2 linked regions of the Mus musculus genome follow. The protein of the gene in region 2 interacts with the protein of the main gene of each other region in a pairwise test. Links are inferred from orthologs where the notes say so. Each region holds a gene or a part of one and is shown on either strand. Other genes may lie near its edges.

The links. The genes of interacting proteins can lie anywhere in the genome.
Region 1: the proteins of Lrrc7 (region 2) and Nqo2 interact in a two-hybrid assay, tested with the Homo sapiens proteins (2 studies listed by BioGRID). The two-hybrid records come from large-scale screens. The link is inferred for Mus musculus from reciprocal best matches to the Homo sapiens genes LRRC7 and NQO2.

Annotation. Positions count from the first base shown.
Region 1 is NC_000079.6:33,980,999-33,986,649, forward strand, and holds part of Nqo2 (ribosyldihydronicotinamide dehydrogenase [quinone]), read left to right. Parts: intron 1-426; coding exon 427-540; intron 541-1,449; coding exon 1,450-1,551; intron 1,552-4,317; coding exon 4,318-4,494; 3' UTR 4,495-5,651. UniProt on the Homo sapiens protein: The enzyme apparently serves as a quinone reductase in connection with conjugation reactions of hydroquinones involved in detoxification pathways as well as in biosynthetic processes such as the vitamin K-dependent gamma-carboxylation of glutamate residues in prothrombin synthesis.
Region 2 is NC_000069.6:158,161,869-158,167,519, reverse strand, and holds part of Lrrc7 (leucine-rich repeat-containing protein 7), read left to right. Parts: intron 1-3,133; coding exon 3,134-3,245; intron 3,246-3,447; coding exon 3,448-3,628; intron 3,629-5,606; coding exon 5,607-5,651.

The sequences.
Region 1 (5,651 bases), on a different chromosome or scaffold from region 2:
GAGGTCACAAAGGAGTGCTGCTGCTAACTGGTTTGCTCCATGTGGCTTGCTCAGCCTGCTTTCTTATACAACTCAGAATCACCAGCGCAAGGATGGTACCACCCACAATAGTCAGAACTTTGATCACTCATTAAGAAAATGCCTACAGACTTGCCTACAACCTCATCTTATGGAAGCATGTTTTTGATTGGGCTCCCTCCTCTCAGATGTCTTTAACTTTTGTCAAACTGACATAAAGCTATCCAGCACACTTCCTCAGTACCATAGTCATCTCTACCCTTCTCCCCACTGTGCCCATGTTGTGTCCCCACTAGGCTGATCCTGTAGGCTACCTTTGCCTACTGGGTGCTATCGGAGGAGAGATCAGTGGAACTAAAGTATGAATCCTGATAGGGCATAATTTGTCTCTGCTTGTTCCATCTCCAGTTTCCACTATACTGGTTCAGCGTTCCAGCAATCCTAAAAGGTTGGATGGATAGGGTGCTGTGCCGAGGGTTTGCCTTTGATATCCCAGGCTTTTATGACTCTGGTTTTCTCAAGGTATGTTCTCTGGAGATAAGGATCACTACAGATCTGTCCAATGGAAGGAAATTGAGGACATCTATTAATTTATATTTCTAATTTGAATTTTTGCATTAGATATGTAAATATTCATTAAGCAGTTAATTCTGCACAACACACCTTATGGATGACAAGTACATCCTTTTTTAATTCACAGAGCTTTTTGATAGTGGGGGGTTATCCATCCACACTAATCTACACACAAGGCAAAGAAAGTATGGGCAGAGTACTCAGCAAGGGCAAATGACATGGACAGTACCTTTATCAGCCCCAGTGCCAGAGTACCAACTCTGTGACAGTCTGGCTGGTCTTGTATACCAGTTGACACCTTTGGGTCCATATGCTTACCCTGGGGGGCTGGTAATCACACAGTTCCTATATTGTAGGAAAGGGTGTGAAACCTGGTAGGTATCATGAATAATATCTGTATCTTATTGAGAGAATGTTCTGCTAAGCAAATGGCTTTAAATTCTAAAAATTTCAGAAATTAAATGTATATGATGAAAATGAACCAGGTAACCAAGATGCTGACCTTCATGGCACAATCATCCTGTGTAAGCACTATCACCTTTCCATTAGCCCTGTGGTCAGTATCTCAGGTCTGTCTCATTGTGTCTCTGAAACCTAGTTCCCTGAGAAGTCCTGTATGTTAGAAGTTTGATGTTCACTTGTCCCTTTGCTGCCTGCTCTGTCCCCATCCCTGTTAGGGCATTAGTTATCATCTTTAAATAGGCCCATGGGACATGGGAGGATTACGTCTGTCTACCCTGGAAAAAACCTGACCCCAGACTCCCTTCTGGCCATCATAAACCTCTGTACTGCACCATAGGAGCACAGTTTCCTCTTCTTGTAGTCACATTATGCATTTACTTTCTCCCCTGCTTGTAGGGTAAATTAGCTCTCCTTTCCTTAACCACGGGAGGTACAGCGGAGATGTACACAAAAGATGGGGTCAGTGGAGATTTCCGGTACTTCCTGTGGCCACTTCAGGTAAACATGCCTTCTCTACTTTGCTGGCCCACTGGACAATTCCTCACCCTGCACCCTACATACACATACATGCACATATGTCTTATAAGCTTGACACTCCGTATCATTTTGACTCCCAACTAGATAGAGAAAATAATAACATTTTATCCTTATTTTATTTTTTAAATTGATAGCAGTTTAAAGGCTGGCTAAGAGGGAGAACATACAACTTTTGATAATGTTTGACTCAAAGTTAAGCCAAACCTAGTTAGCCTGCTGTCTGTTTTCTGGGGATTGTGATGGCCCTGAGGTGGGACCAGGTGTATGGGTATGAGTGATGAGCAACAGCAAGGCCTAGAGAGCCCTTTCCAGACTTACAATGATCTACAAAGCTAGCAACACTCCTTAGCCTTGGTGAGGGGTACCATAGACCCTGTGATATGGATAGCTTCACCTGAGCCTCTGAACAACCTAGATAGATGAGTAGCTGAATAGCCCTTTATAGAAGAGAAAGGTGATGAAAGAGTGAGTTCCAGCAGGCTAAGATGCCCATGTGCATGGAACTTCCTGATGAAGGACAGAGAACAAAGGGCAGACTTCAGGGCAAAGACTCTTAGGAGTCCTTGAAACCTAAATGGATGTACTACACTTATGAGGAAAGCTTGTACTTAATAGTTAGAGAGATTGCTTTTGTCAACGTAGACATCGTGGACAGAAGCTGCAGGTATGCGTCTGTGGTGGAGCGAGTGCTGAGTGTATACCATGCCTAGTAGAATTTGAGCTCCAGCTTCCTCTAAGCTAGTTGTGGTAGTGCATGCCCATAATCATCACTTGGGAGGTGGAGGCAGGAGGCTCAGAAGTTCAGAGTTATCCTCAGCTACACAAGCTTGAGGCCTGACTGAGCAGTAAGAGTTTTCTTTATATAGATAGTATGTATTTAAGTTCATTCCTTGCCTTTGTTGTTTGTTCTCATGTTTGTGTTATGGAAGTGTGTGTGTGTGTGTGTGTGTGTGTGTGTGTGTGTGTGTGTGTGTGTGTATGCACTTGCCCATACATGCATGTGTGAATGCTAGAGGTCAGTTTCAAATAAATTCCTTGATCACTTTCTACCTTATTTTTTGAGATTACATCTCTCATTGACCATGGTGCTTGCTGATTTGGCTTGACTGCATGGCTAGTGAGTCCCAGGATCTGCCTGCCTTTGCTCTTCTCCCGACATATACTGGGGTTACGGATCAATGCTGCCATACCCACTGAGGAGTCTCTTTTTTTTTAATTTATTAGGTATTTTCTTCATTTACATTTTCAATGCTATCCCAAAAGTCCCCCATACCCTCCCCCCCCCACTCCCCTACCCACCCACTCCCACTTCTTGGCCCTGGTGTTCCCCTGTACTGAGGCAGATAAAGTTTTTGAGACCAATGGGCCACTCTTCCCAGTGATGGCCGACTAGGCCATCTTCTGATACATATGCAGCTAGAGACACAGCTCCAGGGGGTACTGGTTAGTTCATATTGTTGTTCCACCTATAGGGTTGTAGACCCCTTTAGCTCCTTGGGTACTCCTCCATTAGGGGCCCTGTGTTCCATCCAATAGCTGACTGTGAGCATCCACTTCTGTGTTTGCTAGGCCCCGGGATAGTCTCACAAGAGACACCCACTGAGGACTCTTAACTGCTGAACCATTTCTCCAGTCCCCAGTAATGGATTTTTAAGAACTGATTTTCAATAAATCATAACATCTGAGGGAAAGTAATATAAAAACATATATGTGGGCTTTTTGTCCTCTAACTCCACCTGATAGGGAAGGCTTGGATGAGCATGTGAGTTGGGTTTTTTGTTTGTTTGTTTGTTTGTTTGTTTTTGTTTGTTTGTTTTTTCAAGACAGGATTTCTCTGTATAGTCCTGGCTGTCCTGGAACTCACTTTGTAGACCAGGGTGGCCTCAAACTCAGAAATCCGCCTGCCTCTGCCTCCCGAGGGCTGGGATTAAAGGCGTGTGCCACCACACCCGGCGCATGTGAGTTTTTAAAAGCATAGTGCAAAAGACCAAGTGTGATATTTCTAGGGAGAAAGTAGGCTTGTTTTGAAAGATGATTCCAGTTAGTGGATTAGTGGTACTCCATTAAGGTCAATTACAATCTGTGAGCTTCCCTCTCTGAAGGCTAGCCATTCTCACATATGTCCTTGACTAATCTTAAATCTTGTTTTAAAAACATGTATTTTACCCCAGTTTATAATAACATAAAGTAAAAGTAACGGTAAACATAATTTAAAAAATTAAAAGTCCACTTAATCTACACTTCTAGAATTACTTGTAATTTATTTCCTAATGGCCTAGATAGAGCCTTATTTATTATTATTCTACATAAGTAGTATACAACAAATATTGCATAAAATTTGTTTTGATTTAACCAGTATGGTCAACAGCAGCACATCATAGCTAAAATAACCTCTCTGTGCTTAGCACTGAATATATAATAACATATTTTGACAAATATATTTGCAAATAGCATATTTGGAAAAATATCATAGTTTGCCAAATCCATCAAAACTCTGCTTAGTGGTGGATTCATTAGTAGAGATCTGTCTGTAAATTCCAGCTGCCAGGTTCTTCTGCTAATGAAGCACTCTATCCTGCAGCTATCCAGAAGAGGGTTGTTATCAACTACTTTGTAGCATTGTTTCATAATTTTTAAAGCTTAATCACACAATTTCCCCCTCTACTAGTTTAACTGAATGTACATAAAGAGTGTGGTTATGATTATTTCTTTTCTTTCTGGCTTCAGCATGGTACACTGCACTTCTGTGGATTTAAAGTCCTTGCCCCCCAGATCAGTTTTGGTCTTGATGTTTCATCAGAAGAAGAAAGGAAAGTGATGCTGGCATCATGGGCCCAGCGGCTGAAGAGCATCTGGAAGGAAGAACCCATCCACTGCACACCCCCTTGGTACTTCCAAGAGTAACATTTTGTGCTCTGAGTACAGCTGACAAGCAACACAGTGAGAGACCTACAGCATGTGCAAAGAGAAGGTGGTGTTGTATCCTGAGATGTATTTAACAGTGCCCACCAATGAGTGTCTTCAGTTTAATACAACTAGTTCAGATATTTCAAAAGTCAGCTTGTTGCACTGTATTAGTTCTACCTGGTCATTCATTCATTTTTCAGTTCTTTAATGTTTCTCTAAAATTTCTACTTTTGTAGCATAGTTTTCTATATTATAAACCAGGGCAGTGGGAATTGCTTCTCTACAAAGAGAAGGAAATGGCCTCACCCATGGTTATGTTATTAGGCACCATTCCCTTAGGAACACAGGGCCTTAGTGACCTTGCAAAATCCTTGTCTCTGTGGAATTCAGTTCCTTGAGCCACTCTGAGCAGAGGTGAGTAACAAAGAAGGAAGCATTGTTAATGTCAGAAAGTAGGGGGAGTGTGGTAGAAAATCCTAGCAGCTCCAGTCTCCAAAGTACAGAGATGCTGGCAAAAGTCTCTAAGTGGAGAACACAAGCCCCAGAAGATGGTGAAACACAGGGATTAGGAATTAGGTGGTTTGTGAGCAATTCCATGATGGAGGTGGTATAGCATCCTTGGAGAAACCCATCTTGTTACATGAGACCTTCCCACTGATGAGTGTGCTAGGCCAACAGTCTTGCCCTTCAAGTATTACTCCACTTGGATTACACCAGAGCCTCTTTATCTAGTACAGTAGTAATTGGTCCAGCACCACTGAGACCATCTGGCAAGAAAACCAAAGGCTTTAGTCTACAAAAATACAAAGAAAGTGAAAGTATTTTGGAAATTAACTGCTGTTTGAGTTTTGTTATTTGTTTGTTAGCAGTACTAGTTATAATGGTAAGGAAAAAGTATCTAACACATACACACACACACACACACACACACACACACACACACTGAATGAATATTTAACATGCCAGAAACTGCTAACACTTTTTAGTTATATGGTAGCTCATTGAATTCTTTTAATAGCCTTGTAAGCAAGAAAAGTTGTCTCATTTTATAGGCACAGACACTGAGGCAGAATTAAGACTATTTCTTGCTCAAGGGTCACAGCTATAAAGAGGCAGATGTAGGATTAGAGCTGAGACATGGCCCTCCACTAAGC
Region 2 (5,651 bases):
AGAGAGTAAGAGCCATTTCCATCTTTTGTAGTGTGTGATGATTCAAGTTGGAGTTTTTCAACTTTGCCTTACTGCCAAACCCATCAGCTCTTAGTAAAAACCATACACCAATTTTGGATTCTGACCTTTTGCTTGGCTAACAATGTGCTCTCCATACTCAACAAGCCACATGCCCTTCAGCAGCTGCAGCATCAGTACACACCACATCCACTACAGTGTGCTGGGCTGCTGGGCTGCTGGGCTGTAAAATGCAAAGTGTTAAAAATATCAAAAGCATTTTTACTTAATGATATTTTCAATTTAATCTGGGTTTACTAGATGTAACTACAAGATGGGAGCATCTATATGCCCAAAATCTAGCACATAAAAAGCACACAATGAATATTTGTGGAATAAAACACTCATTAGTTAAGTCTAGTGTGATAATCGGACTCTCCACCCAATTAGAAGCTCATGGAAAGCCAGGTGAGTTTCTGAGGTTTTGTTGAATTGATTCGTCCTTGTTGGCTGCTTTGTGTAACCACTCTTCACCTGTGCATTGAAGAAATTCCTTGCGTATTATCTACATATCTTTTTTAGATAGGTAGCCCTCTGTTTCTCAGTAATTTTTGTTATTCTTCTAGACTCTTACCTTGGGACTCTCTTTCTCCATGTTACTAAGAGCCAAGATTCTATTTAAATAAAGGAAGGGTGGTGGAACTAAGAGAGAAAGGACATTTCACCTTTCCTCCCTCTACTTCATTCTCAACCAGAGACAGATTTAGATGAACTTCTTCTGATGAACCATTTAGAAAAGTTGATTGCTTTACAACCATGGAGGCAGCCTCGAAACTTTGCTTTCCTCAGCTTTGAACAGGGTCAGAAACTCATATCCTAGTTGGGCCATGCAGAGCCCTGGTCACAAATTTTAAAAACTGACGCATAGGAGCAAAATATGTTAAATACTGAATTGTAGAACATGAGGTAAAAGAAGTAATGTCAACAGTCTGTGTTGATATGACTGCTTGATTTTGTTCTTGTATCTCATTTTATTTTCATTTTGCTATTTATTAAAAGAAGAAACTCTTTGATTTGTATTAGGTGTCATCTAAAAATGCCTCCTTCCCAAGTTGTTTCATACAAATAAGTTACCTTTACCTTCATAGACTAGACAGACATTAGCACTAATTCTATTACCTACCACCTTCATCTGATGAATGTGTTGGATGCAGGTCTGAGAATGCTTCACCTTGCCCAAGGTGCCTGATTAATAAGTGATGAGGCAGAAACAGGACAGAGAAACAGTACCCTGTGATTGACAGGCCAGCATGTCTTGGTCCTTGCACAGAAGTGCTTCTCCAGCTTGCATCTTCTTATTAATTCCTCCCAAGTCATACACATGCTTTTACTCTTTATTATACCAACTTAAAATTTTACTGTGCATTTGTTGTGCTGAACTTAGAAATTCCATGGAAATTCATATTTCTCTCTTCAGCCCTAGGCTTTTCATCACCCTTTTTCTCCTAGGATCTCTTTTGAATCAGATCATTTGCTTTAGGTCCCTGATACAGGGGGTCTCATTGGGAGCCTCACTCTGGAGTGGGGACTAGCTGTGTGGGAACCCAAGAGGACCACATTGAGAACCGCTGAGTCTTTCTTAAGTGTTTTTCTGTGCCCCAGGTCCAGGGAAAGAGTTGAACTAATTGATAGGATCATCTTCATCTTGAAATATAATTCTTTTAAAATTGATTAGTATCAGTCAGATGTTGGTTTTTCATAAGAAAATATTCTCATACACTGTCAAAAACAAGTTCAAACAAAAAAGTTTCAGTCAAGAATTAAAGAAATGGATGTGTTTTTTCTGAAAGACCAGAAACCTATAGCCTGTTCCTTTGAGTGTTTCTGCCCATTTATTACACCAACCAAACACTAGACAAATCTTTCCAAATTCCTACTTTATCTAAGTGTATCCTTCTCCAATTCAAGAAAACATCTCTACTTGTGTTGGTTCAGTGCTCCAAATTAACAAACACACACAAACAAACAAACACACAAACAAAACCTTGAATGTTCTTTGAATTCAAATTATCATAAAGAAGTTAAAAGACACAGCTGTGTGTATAGAAAGTGGAGATTTAAATTTTAGCTTTCTTAATGTTCTCCTGATACCTGTTTAATTGGAAATGATCTGAATTCTAGAAATTAAAACTCATGGAATTTATACACTGATGAGACAACTCAATGGCTGAGAACTCTGGTTGCTTTTGCAGAGGACCCAAGTTCATCAGCACCCACAGTGTTAAACTCCAGTTCCAGGAAATCTAATGCCCTCTTCTGGCCTCCACAGGAATTGTATACAAATAGTGCATTTATGTACATGCAGGCAAACCACTAACACATAAAATGAAATAAATCAAGAGGGGGGATTTCAAAGCTTCTGGAACTTTTATATTGTTCATTTTTTATAAAGTCATATTCTTGCACCACTGCCATTTATCACATTCAACATTCAATATGCAATGAAGATTAAATAGGTTGAAAATGGCCATGAGAATGCTAACAACCCAGGAAGGAGAAACAGCAGACACACAGTGACTGCCGACAGCCACCTGAGACACAGCAGGGATTGAAAAGCAGAGGCAAGGGCTGCAGGAGTGCAGGGGTGCAGGACTACTGGGATATTGTAATGGGGTAGAACAAAGATCCTACTGGTCAGCAATGCCCTTCCTACTTGGAACTCATGGGAGTTCGGCCTCTAGAATTCTCACATCCAATATCTATGACTGAGCCACACTGCCTGTGGAGGGCGCAGCATAATTCAATGCCGTGTTGAAATGAGTTCTGTTCCATCTCAATTAGATTGGAAATTCCCAGAGGACCATGTTGTATCTTTCTGGGAAACCTCCACAGTTCTTTGCACAGTGCCAGGCATACAAATTGCATCCAAAAACACATCTAATGAATAAATGGGCTCATATAAATTAGAAAAATAATTAGTGCTCAATTACAGACACAGAGGTTATTTTGCAATGCCCCGTGGTGAATTAAAGTCTAGGGCCGCATCTTTGAGTCTGAGCCAAATAAGATATTGCCATCTTGGTTAACCGTTATTTAAATGTTTACTTTCCTTGTCCTGTATTATTATATCTCTCAGGATTCTTTTGTTCATCCAGCTAATGAAATGAGGATTGGGGAACTTCACCCTTCATTAGCTGAGACCCCTCTGTACCCACCCAAACTTGTTCTGCTAGGGAAGGACAAAAAAGGTAACATCGTGAAGCCGATGTGGAACTGTGCCCGATGCATGTGCATGATAAATCGCCACTTATACATTATGACATGCCATAGTCTATAAGTACTCGCACACGTGTGCTTCTGACATTAATCCATATGGAATCTGCTTTTCATACATCTTTTGTATCCGTCAGTGTTCGTAGCATTGTAACATGTTTCCCCTTTAAATTTCAGAATCAACTGATGAGTCTGAAGTTGACAAAACTCACTGTCTGAATAACAGTGTCTCCTCAGGCACCTACTCAGACTACTCGCCCTCCCAAGCTTCCTCGGCATCCTCTAACACCCGGATGAAAGTGGGGTCCTTGCAGGCAACAGCTAAAGATGCCGTCCATAACTCTTTGTGGGGTAACAGGTGTGTTGAGAATTTCCCCTTCTGGGTTCCCAAATGTTCGTTGTCAGCAATTTTGACAAAGTGGAATCTGCTTTATGTTGGAATTGTGTTTGGCATGTGAGTTGCACAGAACACAGAATATGCAGGTAAGCATGTGGGCTCACCTGGGACTTTGGAGGGCATCAAAACCAACTTCCAGGGCCTGGCATCCATGCAAGGCCAGTGGGAAGAGGCTATGGGAAGTCACAGTGGGAACTAAAAGCTTGAAAGTGAAAATTTGTGTTTGACCATCCCTAATATATATATATATATATATATAATTATAAGTATGTATAACTCAGCATTATTAGCAAATGAATTCACATACTCTGGAAAAACAGGCATGCTGGAAGTGGCCACTGGCTCAAATGTGCTACTAGCCCCAAGCATAGTACAGTCAATATGATAGACAATCCCTTGATATAGGCCAATAGAATTCTATAGGCCAATAGAAGACTATGAAATCGTGAGAAGAAGGAAGAGATCTTAAGGGAGGAGGAAAGAGAAAGCAACAGCACACGTGACAAGAAGTGAAAGGGAACACTTAGGGAAGAAGAGTAAAGGAGAGGACCGAATTAGAACAAAGTCTAATAGCACCCAAATCTGAAGATGCTTTTTATGCTATTTTTTAATTAATTATTTATCTACATTCCAGATGTTGCCCCCTCCCACAATTCTTCTTCCCACTCGCCCTCCCCTCTGCCTCTGAGAAGGTGCACCACTCTCTACCCAGGAATTCCCCTTCTCTGAGGCCTCAAGTCTCTGCAGGATTAGACACATCCTCTCCACCTGAAGCCAGACAAAGCAGTCTTCTGCTACATATATGCCAGAGGCCTCGGACCAGCCTGTGTATGCTCTTTGGTTGGTGGCTTAGTCTCTGGGAGATCCCAGGTGTCTGGGTTAGTTGAGATTGTTAGTCTTCCTATGGGGTTGCCACCCCCTTCAGCTCCTTCAATTCCTCCCCTAACTCTTCCATAGAGGTCCCTAACCTCAATCTAATGGTTAGCTATAAGTGTCTGCATCTGTCTCAGTCAGCTGCTAGTAGGGCCTCTCAGAGGACAGCCATGATAAGCTCCTATCTGTAAGCACAACATACCATCAGTAATAGTTAGGCTTTGGTGTCCCTGCTCCCCCCACCCCACCCCCCATGCGATGGATCCCAAATTGGGCTGTTCACTGAACAGGCTTTCCATCAGTCTCTGCTCCAATTTTGTCCCTATATTTCTTTTAGACAGGAATAATTCTAGGTCAGTAACCCCATCAGTCCACTTGGGGCCCTGACTATCTACTGGAGATGATCTCTTCAGGTTCCCTCTCCCAACAGTTGGGTATTTTGGCTAAGGTCATCCCCATTGAGCCCTGGGAATCTCTCATGTCCAGGTCTCTGGGACTTTCTAGAGGGTCTCCCAGCCCCCACAAATTAATGAAATAAATAAAATAAAACTGGAGACTTGATCTTATCTGAAGACAGCTTGTACTGATTAGAAATGCCAGCATTTTTAAATTCTTTCATTTGGTGGCTTAGAAGTGTTGTGAGTCAGAAATTCTAGAGAAAAGCAGGGGAAATCCCCTTGCCAGTCACTCTTCAGAACCATGGTTGAAAGAGTACATTCTTCATTCAATCACTCATTTAGCCAATATCTATCCTGAGCCCAGAAAGAGGACCTCCCTCCACATGTTTGCTTTCTATGGAAGGACCTAAGATAGTATACAATAGTACACTAGGCAGTGTGCTACAAGGCCATGTTTACTCAGAAGATATGAAAGTCAGAGCCGGTTAAACTGAGAATTTTTTTTTTTTTTTGGATTGTGGTGAAATAATGTGACTTTAACCATAAGCCAGGTGGGGATAAATGAGCTACACAAAGAAAGGTTGGTGGCATTCTCTGTTACTTATTCTTCTTCTGGAAAAGTCACCTCTTCCTCTTGGTCATTTTTCTCCTCCTGCTTGTGTTCACAGGATTGCACCACCTTTCCCACAGCCTCTAGATGCAAAGCCATTACT